4 linked regions of the Arabidopsis thaliana genome follow. The protein of the gene in region 2 interacts with the protein of the main gene of each other region in a pairwise test. Each region holds a gene or a part of one and is shown on either strand. Other genes may lie near its edges. The genes, in order: SUT2, ATG8D, AT1G19450 and PGLCT.

Region 1 (8,962 bases), 1.3 Mb from region 2:
AATTTTAATTCATCACTCAAGTATACCAAAATAAATTAAAAATTAGGTTAGTGGTACTATTTATGATATTTTAAAATATTTTTTGTTAAATTTAAACGCACATGAATTTTTGCTATACACATAAATCAGCGTTTGTGAATAATCGAAACTAGAAAAAAAATTTTGGAGAAGGAAGATGTATACATACATATCTATAATATAGTAAAATATATCACAGGCTCAATCATGTAAAAGATATACACTATTTAAACTGTGTATGCAAAACATTTATCAATCATATTTGTAACCTTTAAACTATAGGAAGTTTTTTATTTGTCGTGTGCTTTATACAAAAGCACATCTTGCCCATACTTAGAAGCAGCCATGATATGGATACATCCCTAGTGGATATGAAGATTAGAAAGCTTAACTGCTTGTGGTTTAAGTGTAACAAGATAGTATAATAATTACTGAAGCTTGATTAAAAGGATGTGAAGTATATACCAAGAACGTCGCCGGCTCTAAAGTGTTTGCCTTTAGGCCAACCCACAGCGTTAAAGGTCCAGATACCAGAGTCACCGACCGTGTACGTTGCAGCTTGAACGTAGTCAGCTTGAAGCAACAACACTGACACAGCCATGAGAGTCACTATGGCTCGAGCCGACCATGATGCACTGCCTCTTCCCTTGGCCATTGATCGATCTTAGGTGAAAGTTTAGAGAAAGAGAGAGAAACTATAGAGAGTAAATGAGGATGAATTGAAGAGTAAATGTACAAAGGGTTTTTAAAGAAGAAGAAAATAAGACATTCAATGTTTTTATTTTATTAAATTGGGTGTCTCAACAACCCATGATATATGTTCATTTATTATTTTTGGCCACATTGTCTATGTAGAAATTGATTATAGACTTAACTTCGGTTTCTTTTGTCTCATTATTGAAGATAAGAGTTTGGTTTTGACATTGTTACACTAAGTTGAATTTTGTTTCTTTGTTTTGAAAATGCTTATATCAACTAAATAAGGAACTTGTGGACAAAGACTATGTCATCAACAACCCACGATATATGAGCATTTATTATTTATGGACACATTGTTTCTATTGGAGATATAGTTTGGTTATGATTTTAGTACATAGTTTATAGGCGAAAATAGGTTTGAATTTGTGTTCTTATTGAAATGCTTTGTTATATTAGTATGGTAATGTTGGGAAAACGTACACATCATAGGTTAAAGAACCAACAGTATTGTGTTATTAGATTGGACTATTGAGTTTGGAATATGTTGCTTCAAGTTTCTATTTGTGAGGAAAGGAACACACAAATATAAAGTGATTCAAAATAACGAAGATATATTCTACGTGAGAAGAGAGGTACTGTAAATTTAGAGTCACATTGCTGTGTATAACATATAAGAAAACTAGATGTACAAAACCTACTTACATATACGCCGAGAGGAGAACGTGGTCAAAAAGAATCGGGTAGATCTAACTGTGAATTTTATGTCTGTGGTATAAAGATTTTAGCCGATGTGGAAACCGGTGGACTTGAAAGAACTCGATAGCGTGGGAAGCCTTTGCAATGCAATAACTCCAGCAGCGAAAGCAGCAACAGACGCCAAAACAAACGCCGGTAAGTTTCCTCCTCCAAACAATTGATCCCATGGACCCGCTCCAAGTGATACTATCATCTGTTTAGAGCCAAAACCATATTCAGACACTATTTACGGGTCAAGACTACACTCGAAGTGAGTGGCATTATACAAGAGAATGAAATTTATCAGTGTAATTAGATTTGAGAGATTGCCTGGGGAATAACGATTGCGAGATTCAACACTCCTATAGCCAAACCTGGAGTGAGGAAATGAAACCATTAGGGATTACTGAAATCTAAGATTTAAGTACAAAAACTATGAATATAGTGAAGATATGAATCTTTTCACAGACCTTGACCGCCACCGGAATCAGCAGTGACTTCTGCTGTGACAGAGAAAGGGACACTGTATGTGATCTGCATTAAAGAATGGTTTTATCACATATTTTAGAGAAATGTTGCAACACGAAAAGAATAAAGAGAATTACGGTTGAAAGAAAGCACATACAGCTAGGGGAAAACCAAGGAGTGCAAAAACGATTACGGCTGCGGTTCTTGTTGTTTCGTTTCCACGCATTATGTATTCAATTCCATTTTTGTCATCACTGAGAGACATCAAGCTGATTACAGCTGTTCCCGCCATGCAGGCAAATACAGTAAAATTGCTCAAAGCCCATACAACCCGAGCACCCATCCGCTGACACATTGGTTCAATGAGAAATGAGCTGATCCCAAGAACAACCTACGGAAACAGGGAAGAAGAATATTCAATAACGGGCGAGTAATTGAATTTTGAAGAGCAGTGCAGTTAAAAAACAGGTTATTATAACGATTCTTACAGAGTTTAGTAGCAAACCAAGTGCACCTTCACGTACACCTTGATCATAGAGTTCCATATGCAAACTATCTCCTGTTGGATCCCCATGGTAAACTTCTCTTCCCATCCAATCTGTATCGAACAGAAAGAAGGGGAACCAGGATAACTGCAAAGAACAAGACCACAATCAAAAATATAACAGAAGCAAATAATTTTAAAGATCATTAAAGAGTTTAAGAAAAGAAACAGTGTGAAATATGTAATAACTGATCATAATTTTTCTTTGGCACTCACCCATGTAAGAGCCATGACGATAAGAACTGAGTGCATAGCCGGTGGCAAATGCCTTAAACTAGTTAGCAAATTCACTAAAACAGATCCAGGGCCATCAACGTAGGTCTCATCTTGATGCTCATTCTCTGAATTGCCAAACTGTTCATCCGTATCACGTTCCACTCTCTCATACTTGATTCCATTGGCAGTACCATTATTTAATTTTGAATGCTCAAGGCCTTTGGACTGGAGATCATCCAACAAAGGTGCAGAATCTTGTATGCGGGTGGGCTTGTTGCTTGTAAAAGGAATCTCTTTAGCAAAATAGATTGTGACAAGAGTACATATAGTGAGAAAGACCTGAAAAAATGATTTAAACTCTTAAAACATATAGAACAATATATTCAGATTTTAGACTATGAAACAAGAACAAAAGCCACTGGGTGCAATAATATAATTTCACTTTCAAAATCACCTCAAAAATAATATAGACATACAAACAGAACGCATTGATTTGCGACATATATGAATCACAAGTCACAATGTACAAACGTGAGAGTGTTTCGTAAAGACCAGCCCATTCCATTGCAATTTAGAAAGCTTAGTAAGATGCATGTGTCAGAAAATTAAACATACTGCTTACCACTGCAAGAAGAAACGCTGCTTTGAGATTTCCACATGCAGCACAACATGCTCTACTAGTTAAAAAAGGGAACCATCTGCGCAGTAAAATTGCCTGATCATTTAACAGCTGGCGGAAAATGCAAAATTGCAAATGAGGAAAAAGAATACAAGATTTTGAGAATAAGGATCTCAAAGATTACTCTTGCCATTTTCCGCTAGCACCGGCAGAAAACCCAAGGATGTTCCCAATAGCCATCCACAAGCAGAACACAGCATTTGCAGTATTCCGCTGATCAGGACCTAGGGACAGCAAGAGACATCTCATTAGAAGCACAGCATATTCAATCTGATTCTAGAGTTTGAATAGAAATTCTGTTCTGTTAAGTGTATGGTTATATTCCATTATTACCTGATAGATCAGCTAGAAGAGCACGAGCAGGTCCCTGAAAATAAAAAAGCCGAAAACATCATTCCTGGATACAGAGGTAATGACTAGTACCATTCACTCAAGTACATTGCAGAGGCAGATCTGAACCTGTACTGTATTGTTTGCTAGATCCAACAACCAAAACCCAATGATAAAGACAACAGCTGCCCTGGTTCGTGTGCCTTTGAAAGTACTGCATTTCAAGATACACATCAAGTCGTCAGTTACTTTAATTTTGATACATTCCATAAAAAACATGCCATTGGCAGGGGAGCAGGAGAGTTACCTGCAATGTTCCTTTGAATCTCCTAACAGATACCCAATGTCTGCAGAAAATCCGATTATTATCACCTAAATTGCAAGCTTTTGTTTAGCTTATATAAAACACAATGTAGCCAGCTATCTCCTAAAAGAAAATCAAAACAGAAATCATATCTTCTATTGGCACTTACTGCTATTGAGATCATGAATGATCCAACTAGAATAAATGGTCGTCTTCTTCCATACTTTGAAGTACATTTATCACTCCAAATGCCAACAAAAGGCTGGACCTAAAACCCAACAAACAAATAAGTATGAACAAAATGGGGCAGAAAAATAGTTTCTGATCCAATATAAATCAAAACTTGAACTCTCGTGAGATCATTACGTGCAAGATAGTAAAACTGCTAAAATTCTTAAAGAAACTTTTAACCTACCACAAGGCCTGTAATTGGGCCGCACAGCCAAATAAACGAAGAAAAAGCATGCGATATTCCAAGGGTCTGCATCAACCAACCAAATGCAACACTGTTAGATAAAACTCAAAAGGGTTCTTCAGCAACAAGAAAATCAAAATACTTCCAGCAAACAGATATTTAACAATAGTTCTATCTACCACCATAACTACCCACCTGATACATATATGACCAGTACAATACTATTCTAAACACAGTCTAATCTCTGATTATACAATAGTTCCGAAAAAGGCTAAGGTCTTTTATATTTTTACAAATGCTTATGTAATCCAATGAACATAAACAATCTAGCTAAATTCCAATGTCATATACTCTTCGATAAGCCAATGCTATAGAGTTCCATACGAAAATATCTCATGGCTATGTTGGTGACAACAACTACCTAACCTAAGTATTAGAATTCATTGATTCACCTACAAAGTACTCGACTTTCTCGTACAAAGCTACACAAGAACAAAACCCTCGAATCTAAATTGCTATAGAGAAAGCCACAAGTGATAGAAATGGTAACAATGACAAGAGTAATAGTAAGTACCTGAATATAAGGAGTAAGAAGAGAAAGTTGCAATGCCCAACCAAATTGAACTCCAGCGGCAACTGTACAACTAAGAACCAACGTCACTAAACTACAATTCTTCGACACAGATTCACCATCAGCCGAATCAGAATGATTCGAAGGAGAAGCAGATTCAGAGAACGACGAAGAACCAGATTCGTTTTGACGATGCTTGGTGACCGTCTCAAGTTCAATTTCCTTCCTCAAATTCCTATACGGAACCGAGATCGACACCGAGTCACTCATCGTCCTCAACACACAGATCCCTAATTCGTATCAAAATCAATTTCTCATTCCGATTTAGATTTCTAGGGTTTTGATCTCGTCGATCTAGATTCGGAGACGATGATCGGAGAGTCAAATTCGGGCGGGTGAATATTTTGATGAAATCGATTTTTTTGAGGTGATTGAGAGAGAAGACGCGGAAGTGAAGAAGGAAGGAAGATTCGTTTTACAGGGAACCGTTGATTTGTAGATTAACGGATGAGATTAAAACCTAACTTAATAGTCAACGTTTTCGTCTCGGGCTTTGTGTAATCAGCACCGTTGGATTTGATCGGATCAAAACCGTTGCTTCAATTTAAAGGAAGAGCGGACGAAACTCACCGTCACCGACACCAAACAAAAAGTGTGTGCTTTTAAAAAAGTAAAACGGTGTCGTTTGATAAGAGTTGAGAGTGGGCCTGTAGTTTTTTGTAGCTCGGCCCATTTTTGTAAGAAATTCACAACTGTGGTACATTTAGCCCAAATATTAAGTCTATTAGAAGAAAGCTGTCTCATTTTTTGTTAGCATACACACCTAAAACCTATAAAACATGTGTCAAGATTATATGATTCATAGCTATGTCCCTTCTTCTATTTTCTGATGCCTTACACTGCGAACACTGTGATTAGTGATTACATTGGTTCAAGTTTGACTTCATGAAATATGTTTGGTTCAAGTTTGCTTCTAATGCTACCATTCAAATCCAAACTCTCACAATTGCATATTATTAAAGAAAAAAGGATAAGACGTCTCAAAGAAATTTTTTTATATAAAATCATATAGGGTATGTTCTTATTAACGTATATATGAACATGTGTTACTAATTTAAAAACAAAATCATTTTGTAAATTTGTGTTTTACAACAAATATTTTGTGGGAGATTTTAGGTGCTAGCAATAATAAGTAATGTTAATTAAGAGAGTTATAAACATTTTTTCACTATTTAATAGTGTTTTTTTCTTCTTACCAATGTCACTATTTACAAGTATATGTATTTTCTAATAACTAATGTAAACATGTTTGTAAAAAGATTATATAACATATATGTGTGTGATTGTGAAGGTGATAGAGTTCTTCTTACCAATGTCACTATTACAAGTATATGTATTTTCTAATAACTAATGTAAACATGTTTGTAAAAAGATGATATAACATATATGTGTGTTAACGTGATAGAGCCGGATTAAACGAATAAAAGGAAGAAAGTTAGAAATAAAAAGGAGGAAAAAGGAAAAAGACGTGTGCCTAACAAATGTATCATGTATTGGTACAAAAATGCAAAGATGATACATAATTATTAATATTATTCTTGCTTGTGGAAAATGAAAGCTAATAGGGCACACAATTGAATTAATACTTACGTCTCTCTTTCTCCATCTCTTCCCTTGTCCCTCTCTTCTCCTTTCCTTATCCACGTGTACATGACTCTTATGTCCCATCTTTTTTTTCTTTTTCTTATCATCAAAAGTTCAAAAACAAATCCTTTTGAGTTTAGTTGTTATGGTGTGCATGCATGTATGATGTATCCGAACCAAAGTATAGTCGAAAATCCAAATTTTGTATTCTTTAATGGTTAATGGTTAATTGAGAAGTTATAGCCGAGTCTCATACACTTGTTGTCCATCAAAACTGATACCATTCTCAATAGTATTTGAACCAGAAAACCACTATTACTCACTTTTGTAAAAGAACTATACATACGCGCCGTTAGACCAAATATCACTTATTACAAAACAAATTTTTTATCTATACCATGTTATAATTTTACATAAGAAAAAATAAAATAAAAAATCGGATTATTCCATTCAAAAAAGCATTTACATAAAATTCAAGCCTATATAGGCAATTTGGTAGCATTGACTCGGTTTCTCCACAAAAAAATGAACCTTATTACACCTTTGGTTTTATCTTATTTGAGATTGATGATTTGATCATGTGCCAATTTTTATTTTTATTTTGTTATAAAAAAGATCAAGGTTAATAAGTTGATTGAAAAACAGTAATAAGTTTTTTTAGTTTAATCATGTAATTACATTTGACAAAAAGCACGTGTTGAACGCGGCTATGACCCAAATAAAAGAGAAAAAAACATATGTACCATAACTTAACACGTCATCTCCTTAACGTCGAGCACGTCAAATGCTTACGCCTGAAAATAACTCCTTCGTCATTTCTCAAACGACAAATTCAAATATTAATAATATAAAAACTATATGTTTAAAAAAAAAAAAAGAGATGCGTTATTACAATAAATTTAATTTTCTAACTTAGTGATTGGTTGGCAATTTTGTCGTTCTCTGTCGATAGATCATAATTTATAATGTGATATTTACATATATACATAAGAATGGGGCTTACACTGTTTCACATAATAACTCCATTAAAGTTGATAAAGAAAAATTATAATGGTCATTAATCATTATTGAGAATGTAACCATCGATATTGAAAGATAGAAATGTGGAAAGAACGTGAAGAAATAAAAAAGAATCACGTCACGTGGAGACAGCTCTTTTACGAACTCTTATATCCACTCACTTCATTAAATCATTTAAAAAGTGGACTATTTTTTAAAAAAGCAACAATGGTTTGTGCATATATTTGTAATGGTTTTTTTTCTAAAATCTTTGTGTCATTTAATTGTCCCAACAAAACCAATACATCATCTTGCTTTTTTTTGGGTCCGATTTGTGCATATATAGAGTGTTCATATAGAACGGAGTATATGCGAAACCTTAACTCGACTAATTAAGTTCGGAAGCTACGTCCAATTATAACAAAGTTGAGTCAAAAATGCATCATCCCCTGAACATCGTCTCGTTGACCGGACATCGAGACTATGTGCTATCGCAAACAACATGTGATCAAATTCAAGAGACATATTAATAGATGACAATACGTTTTTAGGTTAATGGTAGATGAAACATTAGCTTTGTTTTTTGAAATATATGAAGAAAAAAAGAGTACTATAGTTGTTTATGGTTCTCGACATCATGCCTTTGTTTTTGTCGAACAATTGTTTCGTGAATGTCATGGGATAATACGGTTTCGTGTAAGTTATAACGAACGAGACATTAGGAAGATAATATTGACTAGCTACAGTAAATAAAGTTAGATTGGTTTAAAAGATGGATCTTGGATTAGTCGTAAAATCACTTTAGCATGCACCGTCCAATAATACTTCCCATGGGACATATAAGACTTACTCTCACACAACCCACACGTGCCTGTTACGTTCTTGATTGGATAAGAATGGCCTCGTTCGATGGTCAAAGCCTATAGTGGCACGATATGTAATCAAATTGTGTCGATCCTTTAATTTTTACTTTATAAGATCATATCAATAACAAAAATTAAACATTAGATTTGATCATGGCAAATTTCATTGGTGCATAAATTTCGCAAAGGGAAATTGACCTGATCAGTAGTTCTGCAGTTATACACAAATGCTATTAACCAGTAATGGCACTTGTTGAAATAGTAATAATAAACGTACTTAACATGTAAAAACATCATAATAGTGACATGATAATGTATAGACAGCCTCACGTGCATAGTCACATGTTTCATGGCCCTAGATTACTCGTCGCCAGCTTTCTCGTATTCTTACTTGTTCCAGTGAACCTGATCTAACAAATATTCTCTTTCCCGTACAATTCGTTGAAAATATATACAGTATAAAAAACAGTTAATCGA
Region 2 (6,648 bases):
TCCTAAGGATTCTTACCAAATCGACAATGACCAACAACGATATATGCTTCACATGTCCATGCGTCTTAACCTTGCTTCATAGTCTCACATGTGGCTTTGCGTTGGAATCTTTAAATCTTACTTCTACAAAGGGTTTAGTTTCCTAGATTGGACTTTCTTTAAGTTGGGCTTCTTCTTATAAGTTAAACTTGTTGGTTCTTTGGTTATGCAACATGGATGCTTGTTTAGATAATCTAATATTGTAAAATTTGATGTGTTTGTCGAGTCATGTAAGTGAAAGATTCCACTTTTGCAACAAAAGTTTTAAATAAAGTGCAACATTTATGAGAAAGAAAAAAAAAAGGTTTTATGCAAAAGGACTCTCCAAATGATTTTTTTTGCTAGACAAACATCCATCTCAAAAAAATACAGGTCAATATCACAGTCTCAAAAGTCACCTACAATATAGTCCTTCCGTATATCGATGACGTAACAGTCGATAACTCCGTTGGAAGACATAAGAGTTTTGTTAAACAAACCCTCCATATATTTTTTTATTTTTGCAAGACAAACCTCAATGTCAAATAAATACAATATTACAATCTCAAAGTCACCCGCGATATAGTCATTTTGTATAGCGATGACATGACAATCGATAATTCCGTTAAAAGCATAATGGATATCAAAATAGACCTTTGTTTTGCTTTTGTTGAAAACCACATGATTGTGTGAGTTTCGTTATTAGAAATAGAATTGAGGGAAATAATTAGAGTTCTTTCATATTATATCTTCTTCTTTATTCATATGAAGTTTGGAGATTCATTTTTCTTTTCCATTTCGATCTTCATCCATTTCGATGTATGTGTTTGTTGAATTGTGTTCCACATGATCAAAAATCTTGGTTTGATTTTAAGTGATTCATTTACAGTTTTGAAGATCCCAATGAAAAATAAATATGAATCTCCAAATTTTCAGATAAATAAAAATTCAATAATTTTGGTGTATATTGTTTTATGGGTAATATTAGTAGATAACCAAATAAAACATACAAATTAAGAAACTAGCAGAGAGAAAGTTTTTTGTTACAAAATAACCATGGATCCCACGTTGTCGGAAGAAAGGAAATAACAAATCTACCCTTCATTTGTTGTAAGATGAACAGTAAACGAAATACATCCGTGTAATTTTTCAAAATAGCATGTAACATTAAAATTTCACATGTTATATTTAGTTTAAAAACATGCTATTTCAAAAAACGTTATGAATTTTTAAGAAAAAATATTCTTATGAAATTCTTTTACGTGAACAGAATCTTAAAAAAAAAAAATTATATGTGATTTTAATAAAAACCATGTATTACTAAAAAATAGGAATATATTTTTAAAGAAATCACGTGTGATCTTAATAAAAAACGTGTATTACTACAAAATATCATGATAAAAAGAGATATTAAACTGAATAGAATGTTTTTTCCAAAAAATACCAGGTGCTTTTTAATAAATACTATGTAATAAGAGAAAATAACAAGATAAAAAGAGGATATTATGTTATCGCATGTATTTCGGAAAAATAACATGTTACAAAGGACATTTACGTAATTACACGTGTTTTCCAACATGTTTCCGACAAGATACTGTGATTCAAGGTTAGTTTGTACATTCTTTTCAAATCTATAGTCATTTATTATAAATACTCTTGTTTTATTGTATGTTTTCTAATGTAGTTATTGGTTGTCATGTCATCACTACACAAAAAGATAATATTATGAGTGATTTTTAAGATTGTAGTGTTGACATTCATTTATTTGATATGAAGATTTTTTTTTACAAAAAAAGTTTACATAGAAATTTTTTACACTAAATCTTTATGTTTTTAATAGAGTTATCGTCTATATCAAACCTACATTTATTTGACATAATAGTTTATCTTATAAAAAATGACTTCATCTGTTCTTTTTTATTTGATTGGTTAGGAAAAACACACATATTAAGTTAAACATATTAAAATTGTTAAATGTATTATTTTTTGTATTTTACAATTTTTTATAACTTTAAATCAATAATATTCAATTATTTTTATCAAAGTTTATAATTAATTAATAATAACTAATAAATATTTCATAAAAAATCTAAAAATTAATCTTTTAAAAACTTATTTTTTTCAAAAAACAGAGAGTGTTAAATAGATAGATTTTTTTACACAAAACCCAAAAAAAAAAACTAAGACCTTGAATGTTTTTTAGATTTTGTAAGAGTTTTTGATTTTTGTTTTTTAAAAACTTATTTTAATACCAATCAAGATTTTAAAATTTTGGTTTCCCTACAATTTAGTAAAACTATTTTATTGTAGTTTTCCATTCATATTTAAGTTTTTTAGTTTTTCTAAAGTTTAGAAAATCTAGTTTTTACTCAATCAACGTTATTTTTTCAAAAACCAAAAACCAATTTTTTAGGGGTTTTTAAAACAAAAATATAATAACAAAAATCTAAAATCTATAGACTAAAATCTAAACTCAAAAACTGAATCGAAAATATCCATTCAGGCCTAATACATCCAATATTTCAATACTTCTTAACTCTTAACTCTTAAGTTTTAAGTAATTAAATATATAAAGATCTGTTGCCAAGCGTACCCTTTTTATAAACATTCCAAATAACTATCTCCATTCTTTGGAGTTACCCAATTTCGACGTTGAACACAAACCCTTGCTTCTCTCTTCTCTGTTTCTCTCTCGCAGCGAAAAATCATGGCGATTAGCTCCTTCAAGCATGAACATCCTCTTGGTTCGTTTTCGATTTAAACCTAATCGATCAATCTTGTTGATCTTTGTGTATCTCTCTCTCATCGTAGGGATTTTTTTAGCGACTAGGTTTAAAAATTCTCAAAATCTGGTTACGTCTATTTCAATTGCTTCTGAGTTTGCATGAATTGATCCTTGATTCTGATTTCCAACGATTTCAATTTTGATTGCGTTAACAGTTATAAGAATCCGCAAAATTATATGTTGAATGATTTTATCGCCGATTCTGTATTGTTTCGTGAAGTAGTATGCATAATCTTTGATTGAAACAAGTTTTGTGTTTATTGATGCAAATACATTATGATCTTTATTCAAGTGGAGATGAATATTGATGTTGAAGTTACTAAGTTTCACTTGTCTCTCTTGTGTTCCGTGGTCGAGTCTCTGTTGTTCACGGGGCGTAGAATCGCTATTTCAGTCCCTGTACATAATCTTTGATTGAAACATGTTCTGATTTGGTGCTGCTTTTGCTGAGGAAGCAAAATACATTATAGTCTCTGTTCAAGTGGAATCCTAAGATATTATCACTGAGTATGTGTTGTTCACGAGGCTTAGAATCACTATTTTAGTCCCTGGAGCCTGGAGTAGTAGTGTACATAATCTTTGATTGAAACATGTTTTGATTTTGTTCTACTTTTGCTGAGGAAGCAAAGTACATTATAGTCTCTGTTCAAGTGGAATCCTAAGATATTATCGCTGAGTCTGTGTTGTTTTACGTGGGTTAGAGGATGTTGATGTGTTGAAAATTGATGGATCTGTGTTTTTTTTGCTCTTGAATGTTACAGAAAAGAGACAAGCTGAAGCAGCACGTATCAGGGAGAAGTATCCAGACAGAATACCAGTATGAATTTTGGCTATTTTCATTTAAGAAAATTGCATAGCTTTTGCCTTATTCTCTCTGAAATTGTTGCAGGTCATTGTCGAAAGAGCCGAGAAGAGTGATGTCCCGGATATTGATAGGAAAAAGTAAGTCCTTACTTCTCTTGAGGAGTTGGATATAATCTCTTTCTTCTCACTGAAAGTGGCTTCAAGCCCTTTTCTGAGAACCCTACACTCCCTCACATTTAGTAATGAATTGGTTAATTGGATAGAAATAATTTTTTTTTATTGAAAGATCTGGAGGAATTTCTGGTTTTCATGGTTTGTTGCTTAGGGATAATGAATTGGCTGACTTACTATTCAAAACTTTAGGTACTTGGTCCCAGCTGATTTGACTGTTGGCCAGTTTGTTTATGTTGTACGGAAGCGGATCAAGCTCAGTCCCGAGAAAGCCATCTTCATTTTTGTCAAGAACATTCTACCACCAACTGGTTAGTTTCAAACACGTTCCTTAATCATATACTTTTCCAGTTCAAGGAATCATATCTTTTTCTCAGTTGAGCTAATAGTAGTAGTGTTATCCTTTTATTGCAGCGGCAATAATGTCTGCAATTTATGAAGAGCACAAAGACGAAGACGGGTTTCTATACATGAGTTACAGTGGTGAGAACACGTTCGGGATCTTCTTCTAATGCGCTTGGAATATGTGGATGCATCAGATTATCAATGTACAGTCTGTCTATTTCTCTGCTTGTCTCTAGTTTTCATGACATTGGACGAAGCTTTTGAAACTTGCATGCTATGTTATTAACATGATAAGGTCTTCCGTTCATGGTGTTAATTTGGCTTTATGCTACACTTAATTTCAAACTTAGTCGCTATATATAGTTGAGGTCACTTGGTGTCCTCCTTGAATATTGGCCCGGCCTATTTCACTAGTCGTTGAACCGTTACGATTTCTATCTTCTCAAAGTTAGCTCGACCGTCAAATCTCTAAGCTCTTGCAATCTCTGCTTCTAAGGAACACAAAACAGAGATAACTTTAGCTATAAATATTTAGATTTCAAAAGCAACTTGATTTAGGTAAATTTGTGCACACTCTAGAATAGATTATCATCTGTTACAGATTATTACTGTACAATCCAGCAAAAACTAGGCCTGGGATTTCGGATTAACCCAATGACCGAACTGAACAAACCGTTTTTTTGGTTCTGATAACCGACTATGAAGGGAAGGCTAAACCGATCGGCGAAATTATAATTGAAGTTCGGTTCTCGGTTCGGCAGACATAACCGATCAGTTTTCTCGGTTAATAGATACTATAAATATAAAGATAAAAACATTAGATCTAATCTTTTTAGCTTCTTCTCCGTTTCCTTTTGATCCTCATCCATGGCTATTTAGTCAATTCTCTCTATCTGCATGTGGTTTTCACTATGGTAGCACGTCGGGGCATATTTCGTTACGGAGATATCGTCATCCCTCGCTATCACCGTCACCGTCACAGACGTAGATCTGCTGATTATGAAGAGGGTAGCGGCACCAAGATACCATCAACCCTAATTTTTAATAGGTTTGGATTTTTAGTTATTTTGGGTTTAAGTTTGTTTTTCGTTTTGGCCCAATTATTGGTTTGTAATTATAAAATTTTGTTTATCTTCGCCCATTCTATAATTTTTGTTTTGACCCATTATCTTGATTTTGGACTTATTCGGTATAAACTAACCGAACTAAAAAAAAAATCGGTTTAGTTCAGAGTTGATTTTGAATCCTATAACCAAACCGACCCGAACCAAATCTTTATTCGGTTTAATTTGACAAAATTTTAAAGAACCGAAAAAACCGATTAAACCAAACCGAACCGATTACCCGAATAAACCGAATGCCCAGGCCAAAAACAACTGAAAATAAAAAATAAAAAATGAGATAGGAGAATATTTAATCCGACGGTGGAGAAATGTTGATATAATAAAACGTGATACAGAGGATCATAAACCCGCAACATGAGAAACGTAATAAGTTAAGTCAAAAAAACGAAAAAGCCAGAATCATATTTGTGGCTCTGGTTTCTCCATCCAAACAAAAACAACACCCAAACCTTGTCCACACCAAAATGTTAAACTCAAAATCCAACCACACACACACAATTTCTCTTCCTCTCTACCATTAACATCGATCAGAAAGACCGAGAGAGAGAGGGAGAAGCTGATTGATTATGGCTGCTGCTTCGATTTCTGCAATAGGATGTAATCAAACTTTGATAGGAACTTCCTTCTATGGAGGATGGGGAAGTTCCATCTCCGGAGAAGATTACCAAACCATGCTCTCCAAGACAGTTGCGCCACCGCAACAAGCCAGAGTCTCAAGGAAAGCAATCAGAGCAGTTCCAATGATGAAGAATGTCAATGAAGGCAAAGGCTTATTTGCACCTCTAGTTGTTGTCACACGCAACCTAGTAGGCAAGAAGAGGTTTAATCAGCTCAGAGGAAAAGCCATTGCCTTACACTCTCAGGTTTGCTTGTCTTATAATCATTCTCTTAAGAACTAGTCAAAGAAGCAAAGTTTTGTGGAACTGGGTTCTTTTGTTCTTTCAGGTGATCACTGAGTTTTGCAAATCGATTGGAGCAGATGCAAAACAGAGACAAGGGCTTATCAGGCTTGCTAAGAAGAATGGAGAGAGGCTTGGTTTCCTTGCTTAGGTCTTAAAAAGAACAAATCTTTCTCTCTGCTTGTGTCTGATATATACACTCACAACTCCTCTTGTTGTTCTTGTCTAGATGTATTTTGTCCAAACCTATAATCTTGATTTTTGTTACATTGCCTTTGAGGGTTACTCAAACACACATAACTGCTGCCATTCTCATCTGAAAAGTTGTTCAATAAGGTCTTAGCTGAACTAGTTTTCTCAGTCACATAGAGATACAAAATATGTAATATTGCCACTCTTTCAACAGATTAAAAAGCCTAATCATAACTCTCAAACAATTAAGGGATTGAAAAAGACTGTAAGTTTTGCTTTCTATTGAAGCATCCCTAAGATCGGAGAGGTA
Region 3 (8,083 bases), on a different chromosome or scaffold from region 2:
CCTGAAGCTATGCATTATGTTCCACCGAGAATTTCAATGGCTGCTGCTAGAGAAGAAGCTGAACAAGTCATGTTTGGTGCTTTAGATAACCTTTTCGCTAACACTAATGTGAAACCAAAGGATATTGGAATCCTTGTTGTGAATTGTAGTCTCTTTAATCCAACTCCTTCGTTATCTGCAATGATTGTGAACAAGTATAAGCTTAGAGGTAACATTAGAAGCTACAATCTAGGCGGTATGGGTTGCAGCGCGGGAGTTATCGCTGTGGATCTTGCTAAAGACATGTTGTTGGTACATAGGAACACTTATGCGGTTGTTGTTTCTACTGAGAACATTACTCAGAATTGGTATTTTGGTAACAAGAAATCGATGTTGATACCGAACTGCTTGTTTCGAGTTGGTGGCTCTGCGGTTTTGCTATCGAACAAGTCGAGGGACAAGAGACGGTCTAAGTACAGGCTTGTACATGTAGTCAGGACTCACCGTGGAGCAGATGATAAAGCTTTCCGTTGTGTTTATCAAGAGCAGGATGATACAGGGAGAACCGGGGTTTCGTTGTCGAAAGATCTAATGGCGATTGCAGGGGAAACTCTCAAAACCAATATCACTACATTGGGTCCTCTTGTTCTACCGATAAGTGAGCAGATTCTCTTCTTTATGACTCTAGTTGTGAAGAAGCTCTTTAACGGTAAAGTGAAACCGTATATCCCGGATTTCAAACTTGCTTTCGAGCATTTCTGTATCCATGCTGGTGGAAGAGCTGTGATCGATGAGTTAGAGAAGAATCTGCAGCTTTCACCAGTTCATGTCGAGGCTTCGAGGATGACTCTTCATCGATTTGGTAACACATCTTCGAGCTCCATTTGGTATGAATTGGCTTACATTGAAGCGAAGGGAAGGATGCGAAGAGGTAATCGTGTTTGGCAAATCGCGTTCGGAAGTGGATTTAAATGTAATAGCGCGATTTGGGAAGCATTAAGGCATGTGAAACCTTCGAACAACAGTCCTTGGGAAGATTGTATTGACAAGTATCCGGTAACTTTAAGTTATTAGCTTCGTTTGAGGAACTGTTATTGTGTAACTTCGAGACTAATCCATGGTTGTTTTTTTCTTAGAGAAGAAACCCTTAGATTTGATCTCTGACAATGTCAATGTGTTTGTTGTTTATGTGTTTTGGAGAGTTTGTGATATTTGAGTTACAGTTCTTGAGCTCATGTTTTCAGATCTTAGATGTGTAATGACGAAATCACAGAATAAAATTAGGGACATTGTTAAACAAAAGGTTGTTTGTTTACTATTATTGAAGTTTGCTCCAATTAAATTACAGAAACCAAAACTTTCGTTTGTCCAACTTTGCCTTTCACTGACACTCACTCGTGTTGAATGGTGTGAATATGTGAATCCGTTACTTTGAGAATATAAACAAGGAACGGTAACTACAAAAACCATTTTCATGTTCTTGTAACGTATTATTTCGTTACTATCTGTAAATTGTCTAGATATTTTCCTAGTTTATTACTTTTGGAAGAAAATGACCTTAGTATTGTTTACTTGGTTCTGATTTCTTAATGAATGGTCAAATTGGACAGTGGGACATGCCAAGAATGTTATATAAAGAATGATTTTAAAATTGTTATTATATTGTTGTTTTCTTTTTCAAATCGACCGCCGTTTGCATTGGAAATAGTCCTTTCATGTTCGCCAAACAACAAAACTCCCAAAGCAGTTTCTATCACATGGTAGCTTTCCCATTTGGATCCAAAACACTAACATTTGCATTTCTGATTTTCTATACTTAATTCAAGATATTGTTGAATACACAAATATAGTGCTATTAATCTTGAGAATCCGAAAAATTACACACAAAAACAAAAAATCAAATTTAAAGGTATAATGATATGCTTGTACAAGATAAACAAATTATAATCAATGTCAAGAAGAAATACATTGAACAAAGCATGAAATACAGACACAGGGAAGGGACAAAAGAATGATCTGTAATGGAGAAAGCAAAAAGTGAAAATTTTGTCTTCTTCTTCCTCTTCTTGTTTTGATCATCTGAACAAAGCTTGGATCTCTTCAAGCGTTTTTCCTTTAGTCTCAGGAACCCAAAGACTCACAAAAACCACAGTGAATCCACAAACCAAAGCGTAGAGAGTGAAAGTTCCCCCACTGCTCCATGCTAACAGCATATTTGCAGTCATTGTCACTAACCATGACACGAACCAGTTTAACAAAGTTGCTATACTTCCGGCTAAACCCTTTATATTCACTGGCAGAATCTGTTTTACCAACATTAATCAGTATTAAAATTTCCAGTTGTGATTTTAACACTAAGGAACACCATGTTTTAATATTTAGTACCTCAGACATAATCAGCCATGGAATTGGTCCCATTCCTAGAGAGCAAGAAATAACCATAGCCTGTAAATAACTCAGCCAGATTTAGTACACATACCGGGAAATATGTAAATAAGAAAGTATCTTTCGTTGTGTGAATGTATAAAACAAACGACTTACCACAACTCCAACTACGGAAACCATGCTTAGAATGTTGTACATGTTGGAATCAGGTGATACAAATTCCTAACAAAAGATTAAGAAACCTCAATATCTCATAATTAGAGTGACACTCTTACATTGTACAAGTAGAGATGTCAAAAGTTAAAATGTTACCTTAAGGTAAAATGCAACTGCTACAATCACGAGGCTTATCGTCATTCCGATAGAAGAGATCTGCATTTCAGAAGAAAATGCTAATATTATGTTATGCATACATAAATTCTTCAGACTTTGTAAGATATACAGATGAATCTCAAATATTCTTCACCATGAGTAGAAGCCGACGACCTGCTTTATCCACCAACCATGTCGCTATCCCAGTCGCCACTACCTGGTATAGAATGAACAACGGTTAGAAAAATCGAATCTAATGTCTCCTAGATTGAAATGATATACCTGAACAACGCCAACTCCAAATGTCGCCACATTACTTGATGTCACCCCTTAGTGAATGATAATTGCAAACAAAGAAGCATAGTTAGAAATCTGTTTATTCTATCTTAGGACCATTCCAATAATCAAAAAAAACATATGACTCTACCTGCAGATTCAAAAATTGTACTCGAATAGAACAAGACACCATTGATTCCTCCAAGTTGTTGAAGTGCAAGCAGCCCTATACCAACCTGTAACACAGATTACAGGAAAAGAGTGAGTTTCTCTCATGTGTTGACAAAATTAGTTCAAGAGAGGTAAGAGAAATTGCACCATCAGTGGGAAATAGTATCTCCTGCGCTTGAGGTCTACAAACCGAACTGCAGAACGTTTGCTAGATGATGCCACAGATCTCTGCAGAGTGCATAAAATGAAAATTTTAAATAAGACAAGAAATCACATCAAAGCATTTCTTCAGTTTAGTCACTACCTTGATTTCATTAACCTCAACGGTAATATCAGTCTCAAATCCACGAAGAACTTGCAATGAAGTTTCGAAATCATCTGTCAAACCCATCTTTGCCTACAATTACAACACCAAAACAATTTAGGATAACCAATAATGCAACAAACTCAACAATATAAGCAATACGGTTGTAGAGGCATACCAACCACCGAGGAGATTCAGGAATGAAAAAAAGACCCGGTATCAACAATGTACATGGCAATACTCCTAAACATAAAGAAGACAAACAAGAAAGTGATTAGACTGTATCGATCAAAATAAAATAAAAACAGGTATAGTTTCTCCCAAGTCAAGTCAAAATGTTTTGTGAGTTACCCAAAACTGCAAGAATTCTCCATGGAACAAAGAGACCGAGTAAATACGCCAGCATTATCCCAATTGTTACAGAAAGCTATAAACACAAAACATTTATTGTTTAGTGTTAACATATGAATCAGCTCATAAAATGAAACATAAAAATAGTGAAGCTAACTAAACATGACAAACCTGGTTAACTGAACCTAAGGCTCCTCTCATGGTCTGTGGAGCGATCTCAGCTATATATACGGGAACCTAAAATCGCAATTCAAAGGTGTGTAATTATATTGATCACTCCAAACAAACATTGCTGAAATCAAAGAAATAGTTGAATCTAATATTACCGTATAGGAGATAATCCCAACTCCGAAGCCTTCTAACAATCTTCCCATGTAAAGAAAAGAAGTATCCTAAACAAAAACCAAGAACAACAACAACTTAGTAGGTATAGAGATAAGCCAAGAATATCAGAAACTTTGAGAACACCAAAACACTCACTTTTGCAAATGATATCGAAAGCCATCCAATAATATTGGGAATTGCAGCAATCATCAGAGACTGTCAAAAGGAAAGAAAAACACAGTAAATAAGATACAACAAGAAAGAAGATGTTACATGACAAATTGTCACAGATGAGAACATGTTTTAGAATCAAGAAACAAAACTATTATACCCCTTTCCGTCCAACGTATTCAGCAATCTGACCACTCGCAATTGCTCCAACCATAGCACCCACATTGGATAGAGACCCAAACACAGAGTACTAAAACATCAAACAAGAAACCTAAAAGTCAGAAAATTACAGAACAAGAGTCTTTACAAAAAAAAAAAAAAAAAACAGAACAGTTCTTAAATAAAGATGGGACCTTCATACCTCTGATACAGTTAAACCAAGATCCTTAGTAATGGCAGCTTGAGTTGGTGAGGAATAACCACACTGAAAACAAAAAGATAAATCAAAATCAACACTTTCTTAGTCAATTTGAGCAAAAGCAGAGAAATCCACATTGATAAAAAAAAATATAAGAAAGTTGAGATATTTGTTTATGTTGTTCTTACAGTGAATCCGAATTGAATAGGACCAAGAGCAACAATCAAAACACAAGCTAAGACAGAAATTGAGCTGTCTCGAATAACTTGAGACGATTCCAACATACTAGATTGTCTCGAACCCATCCGATACCAACTTCCTGTGTGTAAGAACGGTCGCCGAAGATCATTTCTTCCCTCTTCCGTATTATCATCCCTAAAACTCATCTTTTTGTTTTTCTTAAATCTACAAAACAATCGTAATCTACAGAGAGAAAAAAGCACGAATCTTTCGGAGGATAAAAATGTCGATCCTAAACTAGAAAATGCAGAAGAAGAAAAATACGAAATTTGAGGTAGGATTTGAGTTTTGGGTGAATTCAAAAAGATGTTAGACTTGTTTTGCTTAAGAATTCTTCATGGTTTGTAAAAATTGAGCCTTTGCGTGGAGAGACGCAGACTGTTTCATAGTTTTCCACCTCAGAACGCGTCGCCTAACATCGATTTATAGAATTCGTAAAGGGACCTGTTTTTTTTCTTCTCTGTCGACAAAAAAAAACTTAATTTAAAAACATTTTAATTTGTAATTAAATAAGATATCGTTCATTTTAAATTCTTTTATATCAAATTTAACTATTGTTTTTTTTTGTCTGATTGTCGTTTTCGAGTTATTTTTTGCGCAAAGATAATTTTTTGAATCATTGTCCCATGTTCGCTCACATATACAAGCATTTGTAGTCGCTTTGAATCATTTATTTTCTTCTACATACTTCTACATACTCATTAGTATTATAATGAGCTTTTACAATGTAACTAATTACGCAACAATACTATAAAATTGTGGTACAGGCTGAGACTAAACTATATTGTATTTTTAAGAAAATGTTTTTCTTTTTGTTTAGGTAAACTGTCTACTTCAAAGATATTTTTTGGTAGGAATAATAATTAAAACTTCCCATATTAGAATACGAGGCCACTAGACATTCCTTTTGACAACAAAAAGTGACAATGTCATTTTATATTTTAGCACTTATAATAATAGTTAGCATGCATTATAGAATTCATATTTAGATGTTGTCCTAACTCTTAACAAAATCAGAATAACAATATTGTGGGAGAAAATTTAGCTAAAACTTCAATTTAGGACAAATAATAAGATTATTAAAGTAACACTTAAATATGAATATAATGCTCGAATCCTCCTCTACTTTTTAGCATTTTCGCTACCTCGTTGATATTGATGTCGATAGGTCACAAATATGCAAGTGACATTATTTTATTAGATAAACTCGAATAATTATAGTTTTTGTTTTCTAGTATATGAAAAATATATGGATGTCATTAATTTCGAATACTTCAATAAATATAAATATTTATTCAGATACAACATTATTTATTTATTTTCAATATTTAAAATCTTTGAGAATACGACATGTTATTTCAATGTTTACCAATAACATCCTACTATATTATTTAGGAAATACATTTTAAATATAACTTTATTTTTTTGTAAGTAATTACATAGGTATGTCATTAGAAATAAGATTTTAAAGAGTAAATTAATTTATTTCTTTAAAAATTAAAAGTCAAATACTAATTTAATTAATTAAATTTAACTCAAAAACGAAATACATTATTAATTTCCAAAAAAGTAACCAATTAAAATCAACAAATTAGATTTGATATCTAAATTATCATATTAATTTTTTATTAATTATTATAGTTCACCTCTCATCTTTATATGATTCTATTTTTGCAAAAAAATAATATCATCGTTATAAAAAAATAATTAGAATTTTTTCGCATATGCCACAATTTGAATTTTTAAAAACGAATATAAACTGTTCAATACATGAAAAAATACTATAACGGGTCAAAAGTAGATTTAAGAAATTTTTTTACTGAGTACTGTGTCATAGTTTGAATATTTATATTCAATTTCATACATATTATTTTAAAATTTATAATCTTATATACTACAATAATTAATAACATATTAGATTTTTTAATGTGTATGATGTGATTCAATTTTTAATACAAGCTGAAAAATCCTACAATTGACGGGTTTAAATCAATATTAATACAAGATGATATACTATATGTGAAACTTTAAAATTAACAATCAAAATACAAGTATATAATTTTAAACACTAAACAATATAAATAATATCAACAAAACATATACAACTCGCAGTTTACTATACATTTAAAATCAAATAAAATAATATCATATATTTATAATCAACTTTACAATAAAAGTTTTTAGTTTAACTAAAATATAAGACTACCTGCTGTATAATGCAAGTTAAAATTATAAATAAGCCGATTACCATCACGATGGATGTACCATCTCACATACACACCTATCAAAAACTTAAAACCTTTCAAAACCTCTTGGTATATTCAAATTAGGATTCTTCATTCATGGAATCATTATTCCAAGGGTTTTGGGATGTCTTATGAAATGATTTTGGCAGAAGAAGATGTAAATTTTTTTGAATAAAAAGTAGTCACCAAAACATATGTTTTATTGGGATTTTTTAGATAATTAAATCAGAGAATAGGGCTAGGCATATGAGTAACCCATTCGAGTTCGGGTATAACCCGTTCGGATTTGGGATTAATGGGTATATGATTTACTACCTAATAGAATAATTCTAAATATTCGGTTCGGATCGCGTCCATTTGGGTTTAGGTCAGTTTGGATAAAAAGTTTCAGGCCCTAAAAATACTCAAAAAATAGAAACAGGTATTTTGTATGTAGATAATGCGTCTCCAAACAACAAAAACTTTTAAATTTATTAAATTTTAATAAATTTAATTATATTTAAATATATTTTACTAAAGTTTGACAAATATAACAAATAATTTTGACAAACATAGCAAACATAATAAAGTATACAATTTAATTTATACAAAATATTAATGTTCGTGCTGTATAGCACGAGTTATGATCTAGTTATGTTTTAAAACATAAGTTTAGATGACATTTTCAATGTTTACCAATAACATTATGTTTTAAAACATAAATTTAGATGACATTTGATGTTGTATTGGTGAATAAAATATATGTATTGGAAAAAAAAAAAAAAATCTCCACAAAAGTCATTCTCTCTTTTTTCTAAAATTCATTGAAGATATATTTTTAAAAAAAAAGAAAAACAGAGTGTTATTTACAGATGAATGAATTGGGAAACATTTAAGTAATTTTTTAAATATGATACGTATGTAACCTGTTAGTTGTTAATCTTCTTAGTTGTTAATAACGTCGGCATAATTGAGATCCCAAAATCA
Region 4 (7,880 bases), on a different chromosome or scaffold from region 2:
ATCAAGATCAATGCACGTGCCATGTGAAAAAACCAACCTGTCAAATCGAAGAGATATGTTTGGAAAAGTATAGTGATGTGTTTTTGGAAAACTAGTGATATAATTTCTGATTAGTAGTATACTGATCATATATAGGGGTACCTAAATAGGTTTATTTAAGAAAAGAGAAAGATATAATTAACAAACTAAAGCTGTTATTATCACCTGACTTGGGATTCTTCTTGAATAGAAGACGGAAGTTTCGGGGAAAGAATCTTGAAAAGATGGATTAGTATGAACATATATGGAATAAAACCCTTCATGTCCTTCAAAGAACTTTTCCCACAAGCCAGCCAATGGGAGTCTTCCACCTGTCATGAACATGAAAGCCACCTTCACAGCCATCTTCCCATCATTATTATGTCTCCTCCCTAACCATGATGATGACGATAAGGATGATGTTGGTGATGATAATGACGAGGCCTTGGTGAAGAGTTCTTGATCACTCATGTTGTGTTGAAGTACTTGTAGTTGCAACTCTTGTTTGATATCCATCTCTGTGGTGTGGACCGTGTGGTTGAATAATAAGGTAGACCATAAGGGTTGTCGTTGTGTCGTCGTCGTAGACATGTGTACGGCTTTTAGTTGCAGACAAAGGAAGAGACCAACCGAGAAACCGAATACAAAAAAGAGTGAGCTTAAGACATAACTTCCCTTTTGTAAGAGAATCAATCTCAAGGGCTTTGTGATCATTGGGTACTGTTCTTCTTCTTTCTTGCTCTTATGATCACTAATGCTCATTGTAGAGATAGAGAGGGAGAGGGAGAGAGAGAAAAAGAGAGAGAGAGGTTGTTGTGATCGTTAAGGATTTTGCAACCAGTTGTTATAAATGTGTTATTACAAGTTGTATAAGAAAAAACAAGGTTTTTGGAGTGTATTGGACAACGTCAAAAGGAGCTCTCTTGCAAGTTATATAAATGTATATTAAAAGAGTAGACTTTGGAACGAAGACGTGACCTGTTGACTTTTAGTTGTTCTCAGGTCAATATATGTATATAACGATCATGTGTTAGATACAAAACTTAGGTTTTAGATCTTAACATTTACACGATTTGACGAAATTTTATCTTGCCCATAGGACGGAGTGTAGTAAGAGATTGCAATTTCAAGTAAGGGTGATGATATGTTGTCAAAATAAGCTAAGGGTGGCATGTTGTCAAAATATGTTTTTTTTTCTGTTGCTGTTGAAAATATGAATATTTGAATCTAATCTTAATTTAACCGAATCACATTGAACACCTTGGTGAGAGGTGGATATAACCGAGCAGTTCTGTATTTCAAACCTATACTTGAATGATCTATTGAATTGTTTATCTGTGTGCGTGGGTTCAATTTTGTCTAATTTTTCTTTTTGAAAGTCTAACTTAAACCGAACCAATACAATAGCAAATTAAATAACTCAAACCAAAATAATATCAAATAAAAAAACTAACCTGATTACTCCAAAGTTAAGGAATTCTTCATAAATAACCTGGACGAGTTAATTATTCAAAATGTTGCAGTACTGAGATGGAAGAGAGTGCGAAATGTTCGGTGCTGACCCACAAACCATGGAAGGAACAATATTTCATGCCTAACTTTAGGTGCACTTGACGACACATTGCCAGAACCTTCTTTTTGTTGCTAAATAGTCAAATATGAAGTTTTGATTACAAAAATCATTAATACAGAGAGTAAGCGTTGCGGTCGTGATCGGCATGCTAGATTAGTGGATTTTTAAAGGTCGTAAGGTCTAATTACATTGCTTAGTCAAGGCACAAAAGTAATTAAAGACCAAGCTTGAGAGTTTTACTTGTACTCAAAGCTGTTAGACATAGACCATTTATTTTCGGCACGATCTATGATACATTAATTAAGATTTCTCATTAATATAGTAACTCACTAACGCCAAAAATTCCAAAACAATTGGGTGTAATTGATAATTAGAGAAAGTGTTAGGTCAATTATGTATTAGTTCAAAACATTCGGGTAGTTAGTTAAACTAGCATAATATTTTAGGGTAATTTCGGTATTTAATCCCCCAACAAAAAGGAAAGGAAAGTTTCCGACGTCGGTTTCTTAACATTCTCAAAGTTGCCGACGGAGAAGCCATGGCGACGACGAGGACAAACGAGGAAATTGACAGAGAAGCAGAGGAGAATCGAAAAGAAGCTCTATTAGCTTCAACACTATCTCTTCAACCCAATTTTAATCGATCCAACCTCACCCAGAAACAAATTTCCAAATTACAGGTCAGATTCTTTGCCTCGACTTTTAATGTTTCTGATCTTCAGATATCCCAATGAGATTGTAAGCACGACTTCGTATAATCATCTTGATTCGAATTTCTATCAACTGTTCAATCCAGTTTTTTTTTTTTTTCTTTCAACCGAATTACTATGTACATAGCAATTTGAATTTGAAGCCATTTTGGTTGTGTTGAGATTACAGGAGCTACACAAGAGACGTATGCAAATAAAAGCTAATGCAAAGATTCATAAGAAGAAACCTAAAGGTATATATATATTTAGCTCTCTTTTTTTGAGAATTCTCAGTTCATATTCACTAGACTAAAAGCTCTACACTGAAATGCAGCGAGCAAGAATTCTCAGAGTAAAGCGATCGAAGATGGCGAAAGCTCTAAAAAGTTGAAAGAACCAACTTCTTCTTCTTCTTCTACCTTAGAAGAACAGAATCATAACAAGACAGTAGTCACAGTACCGAAGAAGCCACAAAAACTGTTTTGGGGGTGAGCTTATTTCGCTAATTTTAGAATTCTTTTTCATATTGAGAAAACCGTGCTAATGCCATGCTTTTTTTGTTTTGAAACAGGCTAGATACCAGGGAGAGGTGGGAAAGGAAAGCCAACATGTAGTGGTCATGAAAAGATTTCTCGTTATTGATAACGTCGTCCATTGTACAATTTAAGAGTAGCAGATTAGAGAAAGACTCACAAACTAAATGATGAAACAAACTGGTTTTTGTTCTGCTGATTTCTTTTGTTTAATTTCAAGCTCCAGATGTAAGAGCAAGCTCTATTTCCTCCAGTGATCGACCTTTAGTCTCGACGACGTTTCCTGCAATGTAGAGGACCGCAAGGACGCAGACTCCAGCAAAACCCAAGTAGACACTGCTGATTCCGAATTTAGTCACAACGCTTAAGAAGTATAGTCCGATCACAAAGTTTGATATCTGTTAGGGCAAAAGAGAAACAAAACATTAGAAACAGAGAGAAGAAACTCTGTTCTGAACCCATAAAACCTATAGATATATGTATATACCCAGTGCATGCCGAGAGAAAGAGCGACGGCTTTTGCTCTGATTCGGGATGCAAATATCTCTGGAAGAAGAAGAGCCGGTACCGGGCCAGCACCAAGTGAGAATGACAGGACATATCTGATTTAAACAACCGAGCATAAGAGTCAGTCAAGTCCTATACAGAGAGACTATAAGGAAGTGTTAAGAGGAGATTGACTTACAGAACAGTTCCAACAACGGCAAGGGTTCCAGAATAGGCAGCAAGAGCCTTCCATGTGAAGGACAAGGAGAGTAACAGCATTGACAAAGCCTTTTCAATACAAAACCATAAAATCCAAGTTAGTCCTGTTGTGGTAATACTAATGAGGGTTGAGATTTTCGAATATGGCTAAGAATTTTAATAAAAACATGTACCATTCCACCAAAGCTTGTCAGTAAAAGACTTTTCCTTCCCATTTTATCCATCAACGATGAAGCAACAGCAGTGCCTGCGACCAGATTTTTATCGTGTTATTTTTTTGGTTATTTTTGGAATTTAATGAGAACATAACGGGGAAACGAACCAAAGACATTTGATGCTCCAACGAGAGCACTGGCTGCAACATCTGATTGGATTCCCGCACTACGGAATACCGATGTGGAGTAATACACAACTGCGTTTATCCCGGCTAACTGTTGAAACAAGAAGAGAGCCGCACCTACGCTTACAACTACAACAAGAACAGACAAGAAACTATGTAAATTGATCAATCCGATATGACCTTTGAAAGGAATCCGTCAGCTTTTATTACAAACTAAACAATGTATCTCCACCAAGTCTTGCTATACCTTTCCAGTAGCGGCTGCTGAATAGATCAAACCATCCTGCCTCCGGCTCAGAAGAACCTTGGCCAGAGGCTGATAAGTCGCGAACTAGTTCAACCACTCTTTCTTTACCATACAAAGTTTTGATCGCCTTTTCAGCTTCAGAGACTTTTCCTTGCTGCAAAATTGATTTCCTTGACTTGTCAAAAATTGATCTCATTTTAAGTGTTGAGATCTGTTCCTTGAGAGTACCTGAACGAGCCACCTTGGGCTTTCTGGAGAAAAAGCCATTCCTATGGCCAATAGAACGGAAGGGATAACTGCAACACCAAACATCGTCCTCCACCTAGAAGACCACGATATCAAAACTTATCACAGTATGCAACCCAAAATAAAAGATGATGAATAAAAAAGGGATGTTACATACCATAGAGGGTTTGCTGCAAGGGGTAATCCAGCTATCAAGGCTGCAAGTATTCCTATACAGATGAACAACTGGTTCACAGATCCGAGTGCTCCACGGATTTCAGTTGGTGATATCTGACAACCATCATCAAACGCTTCAGAGACATAACATATAAACAAATCTAACATCTTATGCTAAAAGTGCAAAAATAATGAAAATCAGTATTTAAACAACCTCAGATATGTAAAGTGGTACAATCGCTGATGAGATTCCAATTCCAATTCCAGCGAGCAGACGTCCCACAATCATAGTCTGCACACTCTGAGCTGTTGCACTAATCAATAAAAAAAGAACCAATGCGTTAAGAAATCAATTAACGTCTCACCAATAGGTATGGCTTAGTGCTTGAAAATTTACCATAAGAAAGCTCCAATGGCAAGCGGGATAGCATCCAATTGAAAAGTTCTTGTTCGTCCAAATTTGTCAGCTAATGCACCTCCAGTGAATGAACCTACCGTAGCACCAGCAAGCAGAGAACTAACAATCCATCCTGCTCAACACCAATCATAGAGAATACCAATTATGAGTTTGGCTACTAATCAAAACACGAATCATTTTACCGTTGACAGGAGGAGTAAAGAAGTGGATCATCATATACTTGCCTTGCAAAACAGTATTTTCGGCGATCCCAAGATCCTTAGCAAGATATTCAAGAGCACCATTAACCACCCTGATTCAGTCCAATAGAACATCATCATCCATGATCACACCAAGATAAAAACAGTGTAGTATTTAGTCATACCCGAGATGATAACCAAAGAGTATAGCACCAAGACAAGCAACACCAACAAAAGGCAAAACTGTTCCAGAGCTTTTCCCTTCAGATCTCAGAGGTATAGCTTCTTCTTCATCTCCATCTACATTTCATTCCTCAAACCATCAGATGATTAGTCCAAATCCCAAACTATACATTAGATTCTTCAAATTGTATTTAAGAACTTGTAAGCAATCACAGAATCTAATGATAGACAAAGATAGAAGAGCATTAGAAGAGACGAACCAGATGAGGCTTGAGCTCTGACCGATCGAGCTTTGACAGAAGAGAAACTCATAACGCTCTGGATCCCGTTATCAGCACGAGCAAGCGTCGCTCCCATGGCTTCAGAACCAGAACAGTAGAGTGGCCCGGTGGTGGCTAAGCTCTTATAACCAGCGAAGCGAATTCCGGTAGAAGTCGTCGATCTGTCAGAAGAGAAGGTCCGTCTCTGAAACGCAAACGCAGCGTTTCCTTTAACCGCATACGTTGACGACTGCATTTTGTCTGACTTTTTATAACCGTAATTGCAAGGAAACGAGAAATATTAGGCAAGGAAGGAAAAAAAAGGATCGCATTTATACCAAACAGAACTCAAAAAGAGAGAAGTAAGGAACGATGAAGACGCAACATCACGAAATTGGGAAATATGTTGCATTGATGCGAACGAGAGAGTAAAAACGCTCTTCTCGATCGCGGCTGATTAACAAAAATCGTGATATCCAAAGCAAAACTTCAGATTTGAAAATTACCAGAGAAACTTCGGAGACTCCGCGATTTGAGAGAGAGGATAGTGAGGGCTTAAACCAGATAGATTGTGATTGCTGAGAAGAACTCACTGTGGAGCTTATTGTCGTTTAAAAAAAAAAATTAAAACGCACCAAAAAATAAATAATGCAATTTTGTTTCCTTATTAGTTTTGGATTTTTGTGTAATAATTCATATTTATCCAAAACCATACGGAAAATAGAGTATTTTCATTTCTTATTTTAAAGAAATCATGAAATTTAATGCATGTGATGCAACTTTCAATTTTGGATTGGTAATTTTGTAATATTTGCTAGGAAATTTGAATAAATCAACCAGTATCAACTAAATCGAACTAAGTGGCGGGACTAATTAGGAAATTTTTTTGAGTTTATAAATTGAGAAAATTATTTACAATTATTATTCGACATAAATTAGTCGATAAAAGGGTAAGAAAAAAAGAAGTAAAAGAGTTACGTAAGAGCCGCAGGATTGGCGATTTGGCAACGTTGGATTTTCTGGATTAGATTTTGGATGACGTATATAGCCGCACGTGTTATTCAATAGTACTCACGTGCCGCCATTGAGCATAGTAACGGTGACGTATAAAAATCATAGTAACTTGGGCCACTATTATTTAACCCATCATTTTTGTGGGCTAATATTAGTAAGCCCATTAATACAAAACGGGACCAATTTCTAACATCTTCGTCTCAGTATTTCATCGTTCTACTTCTATCTCGTTCCAACGTCTTCGCAAAAGAAAATTCCGAAATTGTTTCGAAAAATCCTGAAGAAGAAGAGGTAAGCTATTTTCCTTCTCACTTATCCTTCTTCTACTGAAAATTTATAACATAATATAAACCACAAATACATTTTTGTGTAATCCTTGTAGCTCATTGCTAATCTCTGATTCTCCAGAAATTTTGCTGAGTCCTCTGTTCGATTACACTTCAATTATTTTTTATCTGCGCTGTATCTCTGTTAATGGGTTTCATTAAGTTTTGATTCTCAGTTGTTATATGATTTCGAATTTCATTATATCCTGAAAAGCTTTTATCTTTATGTATATTCCAAGTATTGAATCTCAAAGTTTCTAGTCATTTCAATTTCAATAGGTCTTTGAATCAACAACAGTTCCATGTTGTGCCCAACGTATACACCAAGTGTTTACCATTTTCAAACGCAAAAGCCAGTTTTCCGGAAACAGAGGTTTCGGGTTTGTTCATCTACTTCTGGTGGTGAGGATGATAGATTCAAAGTAGAGTACACTCCTTGGCTTATCGTTGGGTTGGGCAATCCAGGAAACAAGTATCATGGAACAAGACACAATGTAATGATACACAATCTTTTTCTTTTACTTAATTGCTGGATTTGATCTTGGCAATGCTACAACTTTGTGTTGTTTTCAGGTTGGTTTCGAGATGATCGATGTGTTGGCTAGAAAAGAAGGGGTGTTGATGAACACTATACAGTCCAAAGCTCTAATCGGAATAGGTTCTACTTCTCTTGCTTTGGTTCTTTGGTTTGAAGAATAATAAAACTGATGACTTTTTGGTTCTATGTATGAATCAGTACAGGTGCTATTGAAGATGTACCTATCTTGTTGGCTAAACCTCAGACTTATATGAACTTCAGCGGCGAATCGGTTTGTATTTTCTGTTCATAACTTTGCAAAGATCAGCTGCGTGATCAAATAATCATCATACCTGAAACTGTTCTGTTGTCGTTTTAAAGGTTGGATCTCTAGCTTCACACTATCGAGTACCATTGCGCCACATTTTAATGGTAAAGTCACTGACTTAAGCATCCCTTGAATCCAGAACTATGTTC

The links.
Region 1: the proteins of ATG8D (region 2) and SUT2 interact in a protein complementation assay, tested with the Arabidopsis thaliana proteins (one large-scale study listed by BioGRID).
Region 3: the proteins of ATG8D (region 2) and AT1G19450 interact in a protein complementation assay, tested with the Arabidopsis thaliana proteins (one large-scale study listed by BioGRID).
Region 4: the proteins of ATG8D (region 2) and PGLCT interact in a protein complementation assay, tested with the Arabidopsis thaliana proteins (one large-scale study listed by BioGRID).

Annotation. Positions count from the first base shown.
Region 1 is NC_003071.7:827,048-836,009, forward strand, and holds SUT2 (sucrose transporter 2), read right to left. Parts: upstream 5,573-8,962; 5' UTR 5,250-5,572; coding exon 4,983-5,249; intron 4,475-4,982; coding exon 4,409-4,474; intron 4,262-4,408; coding exon 4,163-4,261; intron 4,062-4,162; coding exon 3,997-4,061; intron 3,904-3,996; coding exon 3,819-3,903; intron 3,727-3,818; coding exon 3,693-3,726; intron 3,584-3,692; coding exon 3,484-3,583; intron 3,379-3,483; coding exon 3,303-3,378; intron 3,020-3,302; coding exon 2,681-3,019; intron 2,553-2,680; coding exon 2,409-2,552; intron 2,312-2,408; coding exon 2,078-2,311; intron 1,987-2,077; coding exon 1,923-1,986; intron 1,827-1,922; coding exon 1,783-1,826; intron 1,667-1,782; coding exon 1,499-1,666; 3' UTR 1,232-1,498; downstream 1-1,231. Other genes in the region: ARPN (plantacyanin), read right to left, coding at 484-673. UniProt on the Arabidopsis thaliana protein: Responsible for the transport of sucrose into the cell, with the concomitant uptake of protons (symport system). Can also transport maltose at a lesser rate. May also transport biotin.
Region 2 is NC_003071.7:2,080,853-2,087,500, reverse strand, and holds ATG8D (Ubiquitin-like superfamily protein), read left to right. Parts: upstream 1-2,618; 5' UTR 2,619-2,725; coding exon 2,726-2,762; intron 2,763-3,095; coding exon 3,096-3,202; intron 3,203-3,285; coding exon 3,286-3,310; intron 3,311-3,564; coding exon 3,565-3,620; intron 3,621-3,692; coding exon 3,693-3,745; intron 3,746-3,970; coding exon 3,971-4,089; intron 4,090-4,192; coding exon 4,193-4,290; 3' UTR 4,291-4,515; downstream 4,516-6,648. Other genes in the region: PGR5 (proton gradient regulation 5), read left to right, coding at 5,814-6,110, 6,193-6,297. UniProt on the Arabidopsis thaliana protein: Ubiquitin-like modifier involved in autophagosomes formation. May mediate the delivery of the autophagosomes to the vacuole via the microtubule cytoskeleton.
Region 3 is NC_003070.9:6,729,617-6,737,699, forward strand, and holds AT1G19450 (Major facilitator superfamily protein), read right to left. Parts: upstream 5,409-8,083; 5' UTR 5,018-5,408; coding exon 4,820-5,017; intron 4,698-4,819; coding exon 4,635-4,697; intron 4,524-4,634; coding exon 4,434-4,523; intron 4,319-4,433; coding exon 4,259-4,318; intron 4,171-4,258; coding exon 4,105-4,170; intron 4,016-4,104; coding exon 3,950-4,015; intron 3,855-3,949; coding exon 3,779-3,854; intron 3,671-3,778; coding exon 3,606-3,670; intron 3,521-3,605; coding exon 3,428-3,520; intron 3,352-3,427; coding exon 3,271-3,351; intron 3,189-3,270; coding exon 3,104-3,188; intron 3,006-3,103; coding exon 2,959-3,005; intron 2,894-2,958; coding exon 2,831-2,893; intron 2,737-2,830; coding exon 2,677-2,736; intron 2,587-2,676; coding exon 2,521-2,586; intron 2,425-2,520; coding exon 2,365-2,424; intron 2,283-2,364; coding exon 2,055-2,282; 3' UTR 1,795-2,054; downstream 1-1,794. Other genes in the region: KCS4 (3-ketoacyl-CoA synthase 4), read left to right, coding at 1-1,053.
Region 4 is NC_003076.8:5,270,826-5,278,705, reverse strand, and holds PGLCT (plastidic GLC translocator), read right to left. Parts: upstream 6,231-7,880; 5' UTR 6,053-6,230; exon of another isoform or gene 5,812-6,052; 5' UTR 5,803-5,811; coding exon 5,547-5,802; intron 5,404-5,546; coding exon 5,289-5,403; intron 5,217-5,288; coding exon 5,149-5,216; intron 5,037-5,148; coding exon 4,904-5,036; intron 4,821-4,903; coding exon 4,721-4,820; intron 4,621-4,720; coding exon 4,508-4,620; intron 4,427-4,507; coding exon 4,333-4,426; intron 4,259-4,332; coding exon 4,105-4,258; intron 3,987-4,104; coding exon 3,840-3,986; intron 3,765-3,839; coding exon 3,691-3,764; intron 3,587-3,690; coding exon 3,498-3,586; intron 3,415-3,497; coding exon 3,300-3,414; intron 3,211-3,299; coding exon 3,028-3,210; 3' UTR 2,894-3,027; downstream 1-2,893. Other genes in the region: AT5G16170 (Core-2/I-branching beta-1,6-N-acetylglucosaminyltransferase family protein), read right to left, coding at 205-780; AT5G16160 (uncharacterized protein), read left to right, coding at 2,130-2,270, 2,470-2,533, 2,614-2,767, 2,851-2,893; AT5G16140 (Peptidyl-tRNA hydrolase family protein), read left to right, coding at 7,189-7,380, 7,460-7,544, 7,628-7,695, 7,785-7,835. UniProt on the Arabidopsis thaliana protein: May be involved in the efflux of glucose towards the cytosol.